Linked DNA regions of Callithrix jacchus. The protein of the gene in region 2 interacts with the protein of the main gene of each other region in a biochemical or structural test. Links are inferred from orthologs where the notes say so. Each region holds a gene or a part of one and is shown on either strand. Other genes may lie near its edges.

Region 1 (9,843 bases), on a different chromosome or scaffold from region 2:
TCAGGAGGCTGAGGCAGGAGAAACACTTGAACCCGGTAGGTGGAGGTTGCAGTGAGCCAAGATCGTGCCACTGCACTCCAGTCTGGTGACAGAGCAACAGCCTATCTAAAAAAAAAAAATTCTCTTTGAACCCTGCCACAGTTTATATTCATAACCTCTTGCCCCAGTAGACAGTGCTGTGTCTTGGGAGGCTCTAAATGAAGACCAGGGCAGTAGCTTATTGGGTTGCAGCTTGGAGTCCATGGAAACTCGCATGTGAATCTCAAGGAAATAAATTTCAACTTTTACCCTCTGAAAGAGATTTTGTATGAAACTGTGTTCAAGTGTGTGTGTGTGTGTGTGTGTGTGGTGTTTTAAGACTGTAATATCTAAGATTAACTTTGGTGATCACTAAAACTCCAGAAGTGCTTTGCCACATTATTATTATTATTATTTTTAAAGACGGGGTTGCACCATGTTGGTGAGGCTGGTCTTGAACTCCCGACCTCAGGTGATCCACCGCCTTGGCCTCCAAAGTGGTTGGATTACAGGTGTGAGCCACCATGCCCGGCCGCTTTGCCACATTATAACTAGGCTTGAGCCTCTACACTTCTCAAGACCGGGCACTGTGGCTCACACCTGCAATCCTGGCGCTTTGGGAGGCCGAGATGGGTGGATCACCTGAGGTCAGGAGTTCGAGACCAGCCTGGCCAACATGGTTACACCCTATCTCTTAAAAAAAAAAAAAAAAAAATCTCAAAAAGTATTAAAGACTGTGAGAGAATTGAGTAGCTAGCTGAGAAAAAATATTAACGGCAACCCTAGCAAGAGATTGTCATAGCCTCTGGCTACTGTTCTTGGATTATTCACCTGTGTCTATCAATGTTGTAAACATGAAAGTATATAGTCATTCCACAAACATTTACTGAGTACCTGCAGAGTCCCAGGAACTCCGTTGTCCCAGGTGTTGTGTTTGGAGGATTCAGGAAAATAAAAAGTGGTCTCTTTCCATGTGCTTCTCTGTGCAACAGGGGAGACATGCAGGTAAACAGGATGTTACAATACAATGCACCGCAGACACCCAGACACAGTGCTTTGGAAGCATAGAAAATGTATCTGTTAATTCTGCCAGAGGGGTTAGGAAGGGATTCAGAAGGAGATTTAACGGATGACTAGGAGTCCCTAGGCAAATAGGAGGAGGGAAGAACCCACGCAAAACTATCAAGGAGTCAAAAAGCTCAGTGGGGCCGGGTGCGGTGGCTCAAGCCTGTAATCCCAGCACTTTGGGAAGCCGAGGCGGGTGGATCACGAGGTCAAGAAATCAAGACCATCCTGGTCAACATGGTGAAACCCCGTCTCTACTAAAAATACAAATAATTAGCTGGGCATGGTGGCGCATGCCTGTAATCCCAGCTACTCAGGAGGCTGAGGCAGGAGAATTGCCTGAACCCAGGAGGCGGAGGTTGTGGTGAGCTCCATTGCACTCCAGCCTGGGTAACAAGAGCGAAACTCCGTCTGAAAAAAAAAAAAAAAAAAACTCAGTGGGGCTATGGCCAGTGGTGTGGTTTAATTAAAGCTCACAATCTGTGAGAATGTGGGGAGGGAATCAGAACATAATCAGAGGCCTGATTATCAGGTTGCCTAGTCAAGTTGAGGAGTTTGGACTTCATCCTACAGGGAAATAAAGTTTATCTCCCTTGCATTTCAGATTTCAGAAGGATTTCTTTTCTTTTTCTTTTTTTTTTTTTTTTTTAAGGAGTCTCATTCTGTCACCAGGCTGGAGTACAGTGGTGGTATCTTGGCTCACTGCAACCTTTGTCTCCTGGGTTCAAGTGATTCTTCTGCCTCAGCTTCCCGAGTAGCTGGGATTACAGGCACTCGCTACCACACCAGGCTAATTTTTGTATTTTTAGTAGAGACAGGGTTTCACCATGTTGGCCAGGTTCGTCTCGAACTCTTGACCTCAAGTGATCCACGCACCTCATCCTCCCAAAGTGCTGGGATTATAGGCATTAAGCCACTGCACTGGGCCCAGAAGGATCTTTGACACAGATACAAAGGATGATGGACTAGAGAAAGCGAGAGTGGAGGCTTAGAACTGCTTAGAGAGCTTTTCAAATAATTCAGGTGGAGGCTACTGAGGAGTTGATTATAGGTAGCAGCAGGGCACAGCTGTTTTCTCTGTTTCTAGTTAGGACTTTGGCCCATCCTTCCAGAATGCCAGTGGCAGTGCTTTCAGGGTTCAGGTGAACGAAGGCACTTGTAAGTGTCCTAATGGAGTTTGAGGCCAGCCTGGGCAACATAGTGAGACCCTGTCTCAATTTATATTAAAACATAAATTAATTAGAAAAATAAAATTAAAAAAAAGGTCCTGAGGACCAGGCAAAATGCCTCAGATAAAGAAACCATCATGAACAGGCACCAGGTGGTTCATTCACACATTTATTTGTTGCTAATTCAGCCATAGGTTTAAAGAACATCTTTTTTATTAGGAAGATGAGCCTTAAAGGTGAATACTTAGGGGCCTGAACACTTAAGGAGGGGAAAGGGATGCTATGTGCTTTCACTTCAAGGCAGCGGGCAGAATGGTACACTCAGTGTGGAGGTCAGTGCGGCATGGTAGCACCTGCAGTCCCAGCTACTTCAGAGGCTATGGTAGTGGGATCGCTTGAGCCCAGAATATCGAGGCTGCAGTGAGCAAGCTATGACCTGGTTTCTTAAAAGAAAAGCTGGGAGTTTATATTCTAGGGATAGGGTAACGAACAACTTCCAAAATGCACAAGATGTATGGGGAACAATTAGTTTGACTGGAATTTGTATGGAGGAAGATCAGAGGCTGTTGCATTGGTGAAGATATCCGGCTCGGCTCGTAAAAAGGCAGTGGGAGCCCTTTAGAAATTCCTGGGATTCTGTTTCTTTGATTCGGAGTTAGGAAGACAAGGAAGTAACAAGTGCCGTCCCTCCCTCCCTTCCTTCCTTCCTCTTTCTTTCTTTCTTTTCTTTTCTTTTTTTTTTAATAGTTAAGGAACCTGAGGCTAGGGGCTGGGGGGCAATGTCATCTGCCCCAGGCCACACAGTGTAAGATCAGGCATGCATGTCTGCCAAGGTTTGAGTTCAAAGTCCGTGCCCCCCTTGGTACAGAGGCAGAAAGGCGCGGTGCCCCCGGGTCCCAAGAGAGAAGGGCGCCAAGCTCAGAGCCAGTTCTGTGGAAGGGTCGGGGAAGGCCTGACCCCGGGGGCGATCCGGTGGCGGGATAATCTTAGACACCTTCAGGAGAACCGGCCCAGGCTGACAGGTTGCGCAAACGGCCCCGCCTGCTCCAGAGAGCCGTACTCCTGGGATGCAACGCAGGCTAGTGGGCGCCTCCGTGGCGCCCACACCCCCCGCCAGTGGTTCGCTCCGAACACCCCTTGCCGGGCAGCGGGTGCTGCGGTCCGCCCCACTTCCGGTTGTTGCCGGGCCCTATATCCGGTGTCCGCCCGCCCTCGGCTCCGCAGCCGCGATGCTGTCCCGGTCCCGCTGTGTGTCTCGGGCATTTAGCCGCTCGCTCTCCGCCTTCCAGAAGGTACGATCTGGCCTAGCCGGGGCCCCAACGGATGAGGAGACTGCTGGCGGGCGGACAGGTGACCTGGAAGGCAGGGGCGCGGCGCGCCGGCCAGCCCGGGCACCAAGGGCACCGGGACGCGGAGGCCGCGCGGGCTGGGCGGCCCGGGGCTGTGGTTGTCCTCGGGACCGTCTTGCGGAGCCCGGCGGCCCCCTGCCTTCTCCAGGCAGCCCGCGGAGAACGTTTCCTGCCTTACCCCCCCCTCCGCGCGGGAGCTGGGGAGCCGCGCCCGTCCACATACTTGACTCAGAGTTGGGGAGGAGGCGCGGCGGAGTCTTCTGGCGGGATTCGGCGCCCGTCTCCTCTTGCTCTGTTAAAATCTGTGGGTATTAGTGAGTCCCATTGGGAAGTTGAGATAGTTTGGCAGGCCCAGCGTGTTGATTGGGTTTGCCAGCCCGGTGTGTTACATTTACCTTCGGAGTTACGAGATTCACCTGTCACCAGCACTGGGACAGCTTTGAGCGTATACTTAAAAGAATTCCTGTTTGTTTTTTTTTTCGTCTTGGGTGATGTCGATAATGTCTTCTTTCTCAACAGGGGAACTGCCCTCTAGGGAGACGTTCCCTGCCTGGTAAGTTCTGCCCTTGCCGTCACCTAAAATGCTCTCCTCCTGGGCAGAGCCGTATGTGAGGAACTCGGGGGTGCCTGTGTTTCTCATAATATTTAAAGGCAGTTCGATTTAGAGAGTAGTGAGACACAATTCTACATAATCATGGGCTATCATTTACTCATTTAGCTTGTAGTTTTTAAGTTTCTGCTGTCAGGCCCTGCGCTAGGGATACAGCAGTGAATACAGCAGTGTACAATTCTTGCTCTCGTGGAGCTCCCAGGCTAGTTGGAAAGTGTCAGTTGCCAAACAAGTGAACAGTGACAACGTTCTGTAAATGCTGAGAAGGAAACACACGAGGGTGGACAGACGAGCCTTCTTTGAGGAGGTCACATAAAAATACGGCCGGGCACCGTGGCCCAGGCCTGTAATCCCAGCACTTTGGGAGGCCTACGCGCGGAGATCATTCTTCCTGGGCAGGAGTTCGAGACCAGCCTAGCCAGCATGGTGAAACCCCGTCTCTACTAAAAATACAAAAATTAGCCGGGCGTGGTGGTGTGTGCCTGTAATCCCAGCTACTTGGGAGGCTGAGGCAGAATTGCTTGAACCTGGGAGGCGGAGGTTGCAGTGAGCCGAGATTCTGACACTGCACTCCAGTCTGGCCGGCAGAGCAAGACTCCGACTCAAAACAAAACAAAAAACACTATGGCCAGCAGAATGTGACGGAGCTAACCCAGTGAAGCCCAGGAAAAAGAGAATGGCATGCACGAAGATCTTCAGGAAGAAAAGAGGTTGGCAGAACTTAAGAACTAGAAAAAAGGTGATTTGGCCAGAGTATTTTAGTTAAGGGAGAGTGGCATGAGATAGAAGATGGTGTAGAAACTGTTTGACGGAGTTTAGATTTTATCCCAATAGTTTTGAAAAAAAAATTAACAATGGTCATTCATAGCTAATTTTCTGTTATATGCCTAAGTATTTGTTGAATGAGTTGATCTTGTGGACTTTCTTTGTACCAAGCATTTATGAGTGCTTTCTGTGAACTTTTTAGTTAATCACAAAATACTAAGAAGTGTTTTCTCTATTTTACAAATGCATAACCCTAGACAAGAGAGATTAAAAGCCTTGGCCAAGGTCACCCACCCAGCGGTTGATCAAGCCAGGTCTACCTGACCCAGCCTGAACTCTTAGCCCACCATGTTCTCATTTACTCAAGGACTCAGCAGATCATTTATTAAGTGCTTACTATAAGCCAGCCACTGTGCTACGTAATAGGGATACACCTATCCTAGCCTCGATGATTGTCTCTAGCCTCGAGATTTTATGGGCTAACTGGAGAGAGAGCAAATACACATTTATGCTCCGACAAGGGTGTAATTAAATTGTGGTTACTACCAGAAAGGAATAAAGGGTGATGAGAGGGTGGCATGATGTAGCCCAGCTGGGGAAGGTTGGGAATGTCAGTAAAGGCTTCCTTGAAGAAGTGACATTTAACTGAGACTTCAATATAAAAGAGCCAAGAAAAATGATATTCCAGGCAAAGTGAATTGTTTGTGCAAAGGTTTTCAGACAGGAAAGGACTTGGCCAGTGATAGACATGGGAAGAAGCCTGTCTGGCTGGAAGGATAGAGTGGGCTGGATGGTACAGGATCGAATAAATTGTGTGGACTTTATTCTAAGAGTTATGAGGACATAAGGCACCTAGCACAACGTGAGCTTGTAGTGGACTCTCAATAACATGTTTTTCAAGTGGGAATTCTGAACAATGCCAGCAAACGTGTTCTCCACTTTATGGGTGGGCAGGGCAATGGAAAGAGCCTTGCACTTGGGATTTGCATTTTGGCTTGGGCTAGTCACTTAACCTCCAGAAGCCCTACATATGTGAAATGGGAATAATGGCAGATGGTCGTTCCACTTCAGAGAGTTGTGACACTGAAAGTCAAAATGAGGTCATTATGTGAAAGCTTTTTATAAACCTAAAGTGCTGTATCGGTGAAACTTGCTGTAGGATGAACTCTGAATTGGACTCCAGGTTCCAAAAATCAGTGTGGGCTGCCAGCTGTTCTAGTTGAAAAAGATACTGTGCTTGAATTTTGCACTGCATAGTCATTGGCTGCTGGACATAGAGGTGATTGGCTTACCTATCTTGGGATGTTTGTGAGAAGGTGGGAGTAAGAGAGAGCTAGCTCTCATTTAGAGTCTCTTGAGCCCATGGTTCAGAAAGAGTTGTTAATCTGGGGAAAAAAAAAAAGACAATATATTCAGAAGAGGCAGCTGTAGTTACTAGTCAACAGATGGGGAAATGCACTTAACTGTTGTAAGGACAGCTGGTGGGCAGAAAGGGGCTGTCACCTTTTTGAGAGTGACCAGGGTGGAAGACTTCAGAAAGGCATGGGAAGTCAGTAATTGAAAGGTGGGCACATGATTTTCTCAGCCCTAGGACATGCTGAAGACCCTGATCCTGAAGTAGCTGAGTCTTTGCTACTAGGGTTCAGGTGATAAGATTTTTAGCCCAATCTTTTCAAACCCAGACCACATGTCCTCCTTGCTTCTCAAATTGGGTTATGTATAGCCATCCCATATCTTTCTTTCTTTTCTTTTTTTTTTTTTTGAGACAGTGGCCCAGGCTGAAGTGCAGTAGTGCGATCTCGGCTCACTGCAACCTCCTCCTCCCTGGTTCAAGCTATTCTCCTGCCTCAGCCTCCTGAGTAGCTGGGACTATAGGTGCGTGCCACCACACCTAGCTAATTTTTGTATTTTTAGTAGAGACAGGGTTTCACTGAGTTGGCCGGTATGGTCTTGATCTCTTGACCTTGTGGTCTGCCTGCCTCGCCTCCCAAAGTGCTGGTGAGCCACCACACCCGGCCATCATCCCATATCTTTCTTAAGCTTCAATTGTATTTGAAGACTTGGTGAGTAGAGATTTTATTATGAAAACATAAAGAAATAATGAAAAGTGACTTTTTAAGGTAAATGAGATTATATAATCACTTTGGGCTGTGCCATCAAATTTTTTCTCTTTCCTTTCCCAAACACATACCCACTCTTAACCTCAAATACCCAGTGCTGTCTGCCATTAAGGCTACTTTGGAAAAGTTTGAGAAGCAAGACATTATGATAAAGATTATATCCATTGCCTGTAGTTGATTCTGTTCTGTCTCAGGGTTGGGGGTGAGCAGACCTACATTCCCAGAATGTATCCTTTGTGAGATAAGAGTTGTTGGTTAAGAGTTGTTTTGTTTCTTGCAGGGGTCTCCTTATGCCAGGGACCAGGTTACCCTAACAGCAGGAAGGTTGTGTAAGTATCACTGGGGCATACAGATATGTGGCCACGGGGTATTTTTAAGACATCAGTTCTAAATTTGACCATCTGATTTCCTCACTGGCCTCCAGATCTAGCAATTGAAGTGGTTATGTTGAGTCCCTAAACTAACCTTGATATTCATTTTTCCCATATGATGTTCCTTGAGCATCAGCCCCATGTCAGGTGTTGAACTGGGAGTGTGCTTGCTCTCCACAGGTATTTAGATTATAATGAAAATTAGGTTGGAACCCTCTTTTTATGGGATAAGTATAGAAGGGTGCTCTTGGATATTCTAGTTGGGTATAAGTCAGCTGAAGGGCTCAAGGTTACATTTATTGTAGAGATTGAGCCATCCTCTCAGTAGCATAGTTACTCATTTTAAAAAGAATAAAAGCATAAAACTGGTTGAGTCCTGGGACTGACTAGTTTGGAGGGAATACTGTTATTGCATAATGCAGAGTTTGGAGAAAGGCCACTCGTGTGTTTCAGATTAATTTTTGCTTATTAATGTTGCTTAAATGCTGCTTTGCATTCCAGGTGTTTTTGTGGTGGTGCTAAGAGAATGCTCTCTAGTAACCTGTTCAACAGCTGTCAGGCTGCTTTGTCTACAGGGAGAATCCTCAAAGTAAAGGGGTCAACAGATAAACTTCTTCCTTAATGTGCATCACAATGAGGATTTTTTGTTGTTGTTTTGAGACAGGATCTTGCTCTGTCCTGGCTGGAGTGAAGTAGCATGATCTTGGCTTGCTGCATCCTCAGCCTCCTAGGCTCAAGTGATCCTTTCATTTCAGCCTCCTGAGTAACTGGGACTACAGACACATGCCACCATGCCCAGCTGATTTTTATATTTTTTGTAGAGATGGGGTGTTTTGCCATGGTGCCAGGGTTTCAAACTCCTGGGCTCAGGTAATCCACCCACCTGCCTTAGCCTCCCAAAGTGGGGGATACAAGCATGAGCTATGGTACCTGGCTGTTTTTTTTTAAATTGAGAAAATGTTGCACTCAGTACTAGAAATATGAATTCCTATGTTATTTTGGAGGGCAGTTTGGTGGTCATAAGTCTTTGAATTATGTATGCCTTTTGGTCTAGCAATTCCATTTCTAGGAATCTATACTGAAGAACTCCTGATATAATAAGATTTCTCTCAAAATGACAGAGCAAGGGATTGGTTAAACTGTAGTATGCTTCACAGGTTCACACTCTGAAAAGTGGGAAAAAGCAGGTTACAAAATGATTTCATTTTCTACTCTATGGTATAATCCCATTGTAACTATTTTTTTTGCTATTTCTAATCTGCAGTGAGCATCTAGTTATTTAGAGATTCAAAGTGTATCACTCATCTGCAATCCAATGAAAATTGGAGCAATCATGAATCTCTACAATAAATACATTAAATATTTGAAAGTAAATAATGAAGAAAAAAGTAAACTTTATGTGGGATCACCCATAATCATGTCACCCTAATCCAGTATTTTCTGTGTGTTGTGCCTCGGTGAATAAGGTACCCACTTTAAGAAATCTTTTATTGTAAAACAATTTTTGGTTTTATGTTTCCACTTAATAGGTGTTATATTTACATGTTTAAAAATTCAAAAAGTAAAAAGGATGTCCGTGAGAAGACTTTTATCCTTGTCCTCTAGCCTTGCAAATGCTTCTTAACAGTGGTGGCCACCACTCAGGGTTCCTGGATGACTGGAGAGCAGCCTCTGCACTTGTGTGTTACCTGTTAGCTCTTGCCTATGGGCATGTACTTTTCATGGTTACAAACTATATGTAGAACATTTTGCATTCTGTAGTTTTTAAATATCTTCACTTTTTTCTTGGTTGTGTATAGACCTTATAGTTACCAACTTAAATCTATTTTACTTTTCTGTTGTAAACGTGTTTGTTGTAGAATATTCAAACAATCCTGAAGTGCAGAAAGTAAAAGTCCCCATCCAAATCATTCTCCCAAATTGTGCAAGTGTGCATGCAACATATAACCATAGATACCATATATGTCTACATCTCTCACCCTCAGAGGTAACCGCTGTTAATGGCTTTGTGCATACAGGGTGATCTCATTCTCCAGTTATATCAACTGGACAGTTATATATATAAACAGTTATATTATTACTGTAAAGGCCATATCAGAAACCACCTTGGTCTCTGAAGTTCCTTTTCAGTGAGTCCAGAATATATTGATGTGCTGCCTTCTAGCAAGAGAACAGAGTAGGAGATACCAGGCTGGGCGTGGTGGCTCATGCCTGTAATCCAAGCACTTTGGAGGCCAAGGCGGGCGGATCACCTGAGGTAGGGAGTTCAAGACCAGCCTGACCAACATGGTGAAACCCCATCTTTTAAAAAAAAAAAAAAAAAGAGATCCAGATGGAGTTTGTGTGTGGTTTTTTTGTTTGTTTTGTGGGGGGGGC
Region 2 (9,913 bases):
CTTAAGACATTTTACAGTGAGGACTTACTATAGTCATGTATACAGCACTTTTTATGGGGCTTCAGAAAACAGCTCTAACACAGAACGGGAGAGTCTAATCCAATCTTGGGCTGGTATTTTATAGGCCACACCTGCTGTAACTTTTGGTAAGCCTCTGTTCTGGTTATACTAAGGCTCAACTTCCACTGATAATGATTTATTCCAGTTCCAGGTTGTGGTGACCTGTGAAAAACCTTTAGCCAATTATGTGTAGAATCACCATTAAGCTTTAGTACTGCCATATAGTATTCTAATGCTTCTGCTTTATACCAGGAGTAAAATACAATGAAAGGTGTATTATCAGTTTTGTTCTTTAAAATCTTGAGCCTCGGAGTTAATATATGTGGACTCTAGTCCTTGCCAGTTCACTCTGTGTTTTTATGGGCCAACCTTGTCCATGTCAGGCAGTAGTGAGGACTTCAGGGACAATTTCCAAAGTAAACAGTTTTATCTTAGGAGAATTCTGGGGGTTAGGAAGAAATTTTTGAAAGTATTTTTGGCTACTCAGCTTGTGCTTCCAGGTGATCCCCCCGTCACACCCTTCCAAGCACCCTAATACCACCCATCTTCCATTCCATATGGTGACGCAACAGCCCTCAACAGCAGTTCTAATCTGATTTCCGAGCACCCACCAGCTAGGTGTTGTCTCCATTCTTTTTAATGGATGAACAAACAGGGTCAGGGAAGTCTGTGAGTGTACCGAAGTCACACAAAGCCAGGACGAGAACCCAAGTCTTCTGTTTCCTGCTCGCGTTCTTTTCACTAGGACCGCTTTCTAGATTTTACAATTTTAGGGTAAGAAAGAACCTTGGGATAATCATTTAGTCCAATCCCTTGTCTTAAAGACCCTCAGGTGCAAAAAAGAAACTGATCTATATAGAGTCAAACATCTAGTCACAAGGACATCATCTGAGGTTTCCTGGTGGCCAGAAAAGAATATTCTCCTGGCAAAATAAAGATAAAAACAAGTTACAAAGTCACCAACAGTTAGGGCCTAATAGATTTCCAAAGTTCATGTATGGCAAGAGTTAAACGACAACTTCCAGGCTCAAGGAATGCGTCTATAAGAGAATGAGATCAGAGGCGGCATGCTGGCAGCTGGAATTTGGCCTGGAGACATGGTTGGTTTGGCCTGCAAGTGCTGGCTGTAAATGTGAAGTCAGCCAATGCTGGAAAAAAACTGAGATATTTAACATAAAATCCAAGCCGGTCACGGTGGCTCACATTTACCATCCCAGCACTTTCGGAAGCCGAGATGGGAGGATCGCTTGAGCTCAGGAATTCAAGACCAGCCCAGGTAACATGGTGAGGTGTCATCTCTTAAAGAAATAAAATCCAGATTTCTGGCTTTTCTTGAAAAAATCTAAAGGTCTGATATGTCTGCACCCACATCCCTACCCTAACCAATCAGCCAGAACTGAGTAAAGGCTGCCTCTTGGGAGGTGGTACCATTCCCTGGCTCTCCACTGTCTCCACCACTCCTCCAGGTCTCCCTAACCCTGAGGCCATGCATGCGTCACATGTCTCTCTCCCCTGCATTACCTGGCCCTGCTCCCATTTAGAAACTTTGTCTCCACTGGCCTAGAGGATGCCACGGAAAGTCGTTTAAACTTCCAACCGTTTTGTCTAATCTGACTTGGTTTGATTTATGTATTTATTTATTTTTTAAGAACATAGACATTGTCACAATTCAACCACAGGGAAGACTTGTCTGGCTGAGGATTTCAAATTCCATAATGATTTGGAGATACGCTACTAGAAACTTTCAGCGAGGATAAAGAAAAGGTATCACAGTGTAAGAAGGCTGGAGTGGATTAGCATTTCTCACAGTTGGGGAGAGAAATACTTGGCTGATATCAAAATATGTCATGACACGAATGTGTCAACCTTCACTTCTCCCCCTAAACCCACACACTGAAGGGGTGATTTTAAGTCCGAGAACAGGATGTCAAAAGTTTTCAGGCATGGAACAAGCCATAGAATGGATTAAATAAATACCCCAAGTGGAAGAAAGCCATAAACTATTAGACATATCTTTTTTTTAAATTTGAGATAGAGTCTTGCTCAGTCACCTAGGCTGGAATGCAGTGGCACGATCTCGGAACTCTGTTAGGCCCTAACTGCAACTTCTGCCTCCTGGGTTCAAGTGATTCCCCTGCCTCAGCCTCCTGAATAGCTGGGATTACAGGTGCCCGCCACCACGCCTGCTAATTTTTGTATTTTTAGTAGAGAGGAGGTTTCACCATGTTGTCCAGGCTGGTCTCAAACTCCTGACGTCAGGTGATCGGCCTGCCTCAGCCTCCCAAAGTGCTGGGATTACAGGCATGAGACACCACCCAAAGATCTGAACTAATAATGCACCTGGTTCCCTGTTATCAAAGCTGCTGGCCGAACTCTAGGCTTTAATTAATTACCCTACACCTAAGTAGGGTAGCTATTGGCAATATATCCATTTTTTGGCTAACTGAAGCAGTCTAAAGATGTGATGATATTCCACAAAATACTAGGTTTGTAGGTCCCCGCCGCACCCACCCCCCGCATCTTCCTACCCGACATACCCTACAAAATTCCTGCCAATGAATTTCATAGTGAGTATGTATGTTGTCATTTTGGGATGGTCCCATCAGAGGCCCATCTGGTGAACTCATCGAACCAGATGGTTTCGTTACTGGTGTCAACCTTGAGTTATGATTCAGAATGTTGGAGTATACACTCAGATTCGAAATCCCTACGTAGTAAGGCGTAGGACAAAAGATCTGTGCCTTTGAGATGCAGGTGCATGGACTGGTCCACTTACTAGCTGTGTGATTTGACAAGTCACTTCACACTTAACCACTCTGTAGGCATGAGTTTCCTCATCTGCAAAAAAAAAAAAAAAAAAAAAAGGCCAACTAATAAAAGCTGACCCCTACGAAGCAGTTGGCAGACAGAGAGCGTCCAATAACATCCAGATAGACTCTCTTCTTTTCACGGAACGCTAGAAGCTACAGGTTTTCAGAAGTCAAGCAGTCTCATCTCTCATTTACAGATGAGGAAATCAAGGCCCCAAGAGGTGGTCTTTCAGGCAAACAGTGGCAGTGCCAGGCAGCTCTTGAGATGTGGGCTCTGGTCCTTAATTCAACATTGTTTTTTTTTCACATGAGCCAGCCCATGAGAGATTCTGAGAGCAGGTGGGGACAGTGAAAAGGCAGTCCTCATAATTTCTAGGAGCCTCAAACTGTAGGCCAAAGGGCTAGGAAAACAGACCTACCTTGTTTTAAGTTTGACGCCGGCCTTACCACTGACAGTTGTTTCTCATCCTCTACGGCTAACACATCTTGGTTGGTCGCTGGGCCTATGTATACATTCAAGTTTGGTTTATCTAGACTAACTGGCTGAGCTGCCTGCCAATAGTTTCGATTATTGATCAACCAAAGGTGAGGCATGCACACTTCAGCTTTATACAACTCACACACATACACACACAAAAGCATCCCCAAGATCACATTCTAAGCTTGGTTCCTGGTCTGTAGGAGAATGGTTGACCCTTTTACATTTCAGCTTGCAAAGTCATGGCTTTTCCCAAGTGCATTCTTATAGAGACTCAGAAAGTTACTGACATGTACAGAAAGGCTGAGAATCCCTGATTCCCAGAACTACTCTTCAGGATTGATTTCACTAGCCTGTCACACGTTAGGAAAGAACATACGCTTTCATAGGAACCAGAGTTCTAGATCCTGAAAGTGAAACTCCATGCTCCTTATAGCATAACTGTTTCCTTCCCCTTCTCTTGGGAACAGCATGATTCTATTATGAGGTTGTGTTTTAAAAACAAATGATAGATTACTGACTAATACCAAATGCTCATTTGTGAACTATAACTCACCTAAAGCCATTTTTTCTATTAGCCACTGCAGGTTTAAGGGAAAGTAAAGGGGTGAGAAAATGACTCCCCAGAAATCCTGTGGGGCATCCCCCACCCCTACAATATGTCTCAGACATCAAATAGCCACTCTATGTTAACTACCACCAAACCTTTTCCAACCACTAGTGTGTCACCTTTTTCACAACCCTAAGACAACTATGCAAATACTTTAAACTTTGAGAAACTGGGCTGAGTGGATTACTGAGCATTATATGAGGAGAGGTTGAAAGCAATTTATTAAGGCTGCCTGAAACACCACAGTCCAAACACTGATTCAAACCCTTATTTAAATATGCTATTTTAAACTTGATTTGTGGCAAGGCAGCAGACCAAATTAAATCACTCATTTACTGACCTGAGCCCCAAGCCTGAATTCTCTGGTGGATTATTTTTAATTTAAAAATGAGCTCTTGTCCTATAAATAAGCAGCACCAAGGAGAAACGCAAGACAGCCTAAATGGCCCAAGAGGCAGAACAAGTTACTTGTACAAAAAAACTGGAAAGTATTAATGACATTATTTCCACTTCTAATTTCAGAAAATGAACTTTCCAGATTTTAATGAAGTAATGTAGACAAGTATGTCTGTGAAATTGCTCCTGAAGGTTTCCACGTAATAGCTGCAGATAAACAAATGTTCTAACATGATCACACAATGCAATACCATGCAGCCATTTAAAATACAATGAAGTCGGCTGGGTTTCAGACATAGAGAAATATGTGTGATAATATGAATTTTAAAACAGCAAGTTGCAGATGCCATTTCTGGAGAAAAACTTGTATCTCTGTGTGGGTATTAAAAAAAACCTCCCTGACATACACTGACATCTATGATTCTATGTTTAGCTGCGAGGGTGTATGTGTGTATATATAGTTTAAAAAGATACACATTAAACCTAACAATGGAGGGAAAGGACGGGACAGGTCCTGGCCTTTCATTTTACTTCTTGTCTTAATGGTTTGCATTTTTCACAAGGGCACTGAAAACTTTTTACATTAAATAAAAAATGAAGTGATGAGCTTTCAACAACTCAAACAACAGCTCTTGAGTGCCCTGTTAATTTCTTGATTGACTGTTTTCACCCCACTTAATACAAAAACGCAGCCACACAACTCCTCAGTCCTTCCCAGTCTTTGGAAGGCTAGGAGAGAAAAAGGCGTGGCTTGCAGGGTTTTCTTGTAGCTGGAGGAAAACAGGCTCTAGGGGTCCTTTTTTTAGCTACACTCTCGAGAACTCCCACGTGTCAGGGGTGCGCAGAAGGTAGATGCGGGGTGCAGGGCTCCAGTATCAATTCAGCCAAGCCGAGTGCTGGTAAAGGGTGTGTTTAGCTTGCCTGTTTCCTCCCTCCTCAATCCCCACAGTTTCTCGGTCCAAGTTTTAGTGGTGCGGCCCATCCTTACCGAGCGTACCCGAATACACATCTGCAGAGGACTCGGGCATTGGGGCGGGTGAGTGAAAATGTTCTAAAGACCAGCGAATGCCAATTAATCTGGGGTCAGTACTCGGTAAATTTCAACCCAGAGCTACTACTTTCAAAGTGGGCTTGAGGGAGGGTGAACGAAGTGTAAACATTTTTTTTTTTTTTTTTTTTTTTTAGGAGAGATGCTGACCGCCTCTCTGGGCCTGCGAGTGGGTTGCAGAATACCGGAGTCCCTGAGGTCACCGGCGGAGGTGCGCGGGCTGTCCCTGGACTTACCTTACAGGGAAACAGGACTGCTGAGGCCACCTTCTCCATAGCCAGGTTCCTGATGCTGGGCGTCAGGGCGCCCCTGCACGTCGGGCAGCAGCTCAACTTCTGGCGGCATTGGTTACACACCAGGTGCCCAGCCTGGCACTGCAGGATAGGAGGCAGGACATAGTCAAAGCAGACCGGACACTCAAAGAGCGAGGTCAGCTCGTGGTGCTGCGGGGACACCGGGCCGGCCCCGCCGCCACCGCCGGGGCCCGAGATCACCGCCGCCGCGGCGGGCACCGCGGACGAGCCGGGGCCCGCAGCCGAGATGGTGGCGGCGGCCGGGGGCGCAGCCGGGGACGGAGTGTGCTGGGGCTGCGGCGGCGGCTGCTTGCTGCACGGTTTATTAGCGCTGGGGCCGGTGGAGGACGGGCGGCTCATCGCGCTCCGAACCAACCATGGAACTGCGGGCGCCTGCCTGCCGCGGGGCCGCCCAGGTCAAGGCGGTGCGCGCCCCGCGGGCAGAGAGCTCGGAGGCAACGCCACGGCGCCCAGCCCAGGTCCGCGCGGCGGAGACGCTTGGCGCCCGGGAGGCGGAGGGTTGGACCACGCGGATGCACTCCGCAGCCCCCGGAGTTCCGAACGCGCCTCCGCAGTTCCGAACACGCCTCCGCGTCGGACCCCGCGCGGTGCCCTTCTCCCGGCGCGGCGTCCCGGGCCCCGAACCCCGAACCCCAGCGGTGCGCGAAGATCCCTGGCCCACCAGCTTCTGGAGCGGCCGCTGACGCAAGCCCCGGGGGCGCGCGCGGACGTGACGCCTGGACACGTGTGCGGCCGCCCAGGCGCGCGGGGACTGGCAGAGCCACCCTGCGCCGGGGCGCTGGCTCCACCCGGCTCCAGCTGGCAGCGCAGGGGGCCGCCTAGCGCCGGCGCTTCCTGCTTAGGCTGCGGGCCGGGCCTGCGCCAGTGAGCATGCCTAGATCGCCACAGCCTCGGGGGGTTGTGTTTTCCAGATTGGGGAGGGGGCCACCCTCGGGAAGGCGTCGCCGAAGTCCTTTAGCCACACCCCGGGGTGCCTGGCTGACTCGTCCCTCGGCTCAGACGAGAAGGGCAACTTCTGGCAGGGCGGGAGCGTGGATGGTGGGTGGGACCGGACGCGGGCGGGCAGGGGCGGGGCGCGGGCGCCCCTGCACTGGTCGGAAAAAACCGAGAGGTGTCTGTTGGGGTTGACTCACCAGCGCGCAAGAGAGGAGGGCGACGCTGCCTCCTGGGTTCTGTGTTCGGAGTCAGGACGAGAAGCTTTGGGTGGGAGCAGGGCGAGGGGCTCGAGTTGGGTCTGCAGTGGGCACAGGACCTAGTTTTGTACAGTTAATGGTGGGTTTGAGTAAAGGCGGGGGAGGGGGGCGGTGGGAAGGAAGGAAGCTCCCTTTATTCCTTTCCCAACGGACCTGAAGGAGGCTTCATTGAATTGAGCGCCCCTGGCTTGTAGAGCAGGAGGAGGAGGCATTTCATGGACAGCATTGGCTGAGAGTTCGAGATCATCTCGGAATGCCAGAAATGTGGGTTGGGTCGTGAGGTCTCTGAAGACAGTGGGTGAGCCTCCAGTATAAGGCGCTGCGTCCTTTTGGTAGAGAGCTGGCAGAAGTCCGAGTGTTTGTTGCGCGGCTAGGCCAGCCTGTGCGCCCATCAGAAGCGCTAGCGAGGGCAGGGTAGCCCGGAGTGAACCGCATGTTCAACTGTGTACTCCGAGTTAAACTGTTTTTCTGCAAACTTTGCTTGAGCCGGTGACTCTGGAATTGGGGAAAGGGTTACCCTAGGTGGCGGATATTTGTAGGAGACACAGAGGTAAGGACCAACTGTTAGGAATGTGTGAAAAGTGGTTTCCTCCAACTGTAAAAGTGGAATAAAAACAATACCTATCTTATGGGGGGGCAGTGAGGAGTAATGAGTTTGATATATGTCAAGCTCTTAAAACTACGCAGAGACTCCATCTCAAACAAACAGAAAAATCAACCTTGCCCATCATAAGCACTGTTTAAACGTTAGTTGTTATCTTTTAAAACTATTATTGGATGCTTAATATGAATGAGTAAAACTTGTCAAAGAAATATGGCGTTAGAGCCCAGAAGAAATAAAGTTTATAAAGGGCTTCCATAGAAAGACTAAATGCGTGGAATTTGGTAAAAATCTTGAAAAAACTTAGTAGGTATAGATATTCAATGATTCAGTAAATGTTTCCGGAGCATTTATCACGTGCCCGCTACTGTTGGAGCTCAGAGAATGGTTCCTATGCAGTTTACGTTCTAGTAAGAGAGCGAGGCCCGATAACCCTGGGAGAGGACGGATCTCAGGGACCGCGAGATGGGAAGGCATTGTAGCAGGAGCTGAAAAGTACAGAGTGAAAGGAGGTATTCTGGGATTGCATTGGGACTTGAAGGGGACATAATGGGAGTGTAGGGGCGTGGGGTTAGCACAAGGGGAGCCTCAACTGGCTTACTAAGACATTTACCTCAATGATAGGGGTCAACCACTGTAGGGTTTTGTTTTTTTTTAAGAACACGTAAGTAACAACACTAGGTTTTGTAGGTTTTTGAAAGCTCATGGCTGAACCTGAGTTTTTGGATAGGTGGGGAGCATAAAATAATACCTAATGTTTATTGAGTCCGCACTGTATGTTGGGCATGGATAGTTTTAAGTATTTCTCATAACTCTATATGATGAATACTACTGTTATCCCCATTTTGCAGTTGAGGAAAGTGAGACACGGATTACTTTACTCAAGGTCTCACAGCTGAGAATGTGGGAACCCGCTTGGAGCCCTTCTTCTGAATTATGCCTGACTCCTACTTGTAGTCTGGTTGAAGAGTTAAGATTAGCACACTCAACAGAGATAGAAAACAGTTGTTCAGCCTATAATAAAGTGCTGAATTTTGTGGGCAAACTTTACATAAACTCTTTCCTTAGCTGGTCTTGAGAGAAAAATTAAATCATATTCTATTTATTTCATTTTCATCTTTTTATGACACAAAACATAAGTGATGACACAAAAATCACCCACAGTTTTACTGTTACTGGAGAAAACGTAATCGTTTTCATTCTTAGTTTAAAATCAAAGCATTTGGAATTTATTACTGGAATGTATTTTCTTTCCTTCCACTTCCGGCCTCTCTGTGTGATGACCCTCATTCCCAGCACTTCTAACTAGCTCTCATTGGGACACTGGAGTCCTCATGCTTGCCCCATTGACATGAGCTTTCAATGTTCCAGCTAGATAGGCCCCAGTCATTTAGAAAGCAATTTGGTTTGGGAGGTGTTGAAATAAAGAACAGGAAAAGCAATTCTCTGCAGAGAGAATTTGGTTTACTTTTCTAAAAATACAACAAACCCATCCACTCTTACCCTGGCAGATGCCTCCCCTGTTATAGAGAAATGTCTTCTTTCTTCCTCCTTCACATCATTGCACACCTGATGAAGTCAATCAGGGTAATTAAAAAACAAAAGCAAAACAAAGAAACTGGGCAGTTGCTGAAGGCAGGGGAGGAGAGTGGACAGGCCTGCTACGTGAGCCACGTAGGTGACCAGGCTGGTCTTTCCAGTCCGCCTTTCTTCTTCCTTCCTTGTGGTTTTTGAAACAAAGAAAGGTGACCTTTGCACTGTGAGCTAGAGCCTCTTCTTTCAGAGAGCAGTCAGCTCAGAGGTCACATTTAGCGTGCACTCAAAATGTGTGCTGAGTTGAGTTGTTGCGAGGATTATTTACCCTTCGGAGTGTTGCTGCTCTTTCCCGGCCTGTTTAGTGAATGTCTGTGGCCTGGGGGAGCAGAGTCCAGCCTTTTGTTACCTCCTGATTCATGACTCATTTACCACATCTGCTGTATGAGAGGTTGGCCTCATTTGCCCACCCACTGAATCCCAGATTGTATATGTCAAGCAGGACACCTCTCCTTAACCCATCTGCTTGCTCTGTGCTAAGCTTGAAAGACTGGGGTTATACTGAGTAGCCTTTTCTTTCCCTAAAATAGCAAGGTAAGTCTTTAAAAAAAAAAAACACCTCACAGGTGAGTTCCTAATCTTACTAAACTGCTGAGCACAATAAGAAATGCTCCAGTTAGGCAGACAAGCTCTTGCCCTTTTTTCTGTAAGTTACAAATTGTGTGGTTTTGCAAATCAGGCAACTTCTGCAATCAGGCAAATGGGGTGCATTTGCAGAGCAAATTGTGGTTGGATATTTAGAGATGACTCAAGTATGCACTGGAGCTTGCCACATGGAAATTCCTCATCAGGGGAAGCGTGTGGGAAATC

The links.
Region 1: the proteins of SIAH2 (region 2) and DLST form a complex in vitro, tested with the Homo sapiens proteins (2 studies listed by BioGRID, with this or other methods). The link is inferred for Callithrix jacchus from reciprocal best matches to the Homo sapiens genes SIAH2 and DLST.

Annotation. Positions count from the first base shown.
Region 1 is NC_133509.1:109,794,659-109,804,501, forward strand, and holds the start of DLST (dihydrolipoyllysine-residue succinyltransferase component of 2-oxoglutarate dehydrogenase complex, mitochondrial), read left to right. Parts: upstream 1-3,449; 5' UTR 3,450-3,481; coding exon 3,482-3,544; intron 3,545-4,120; coding exon 4,121-4,154; intron 4,155-4,745; exon of another isoform or gene 4,746-4,887; coding exon of another isoform or gene 4,888-4,950; intron 4,951-7,376; coding exon 7,377-7,425; intron 7,426-9,843. UniProt on the Homo sapiens protein: Dihydrolipoamide succinyltransferase (E2) component of the 2-oxoglutarate dehydrogenase complex. The 2-oxoglutarate dehydrogenase complex catalyzes the overall conversion of 2-oxoglutarate to succinyl-CoA and CO(2).
Region 2 is NC_133518.1:34,499,607-34,509,519, reverse strand, and holds the start of SIAH2 (E3 ubiquitin-protein ligase SIAH2), read right to left. Parts: upstream 6,403-9,913; 5' UTR 6,056-6,402; coding exon 5,639-6,055; intron 1-5,638. UniProt on the Homo sapiens protein: E3 ubiquitin-protein ligase that mediates ubiquitination and subsequent proteasomal degradation of target proteins.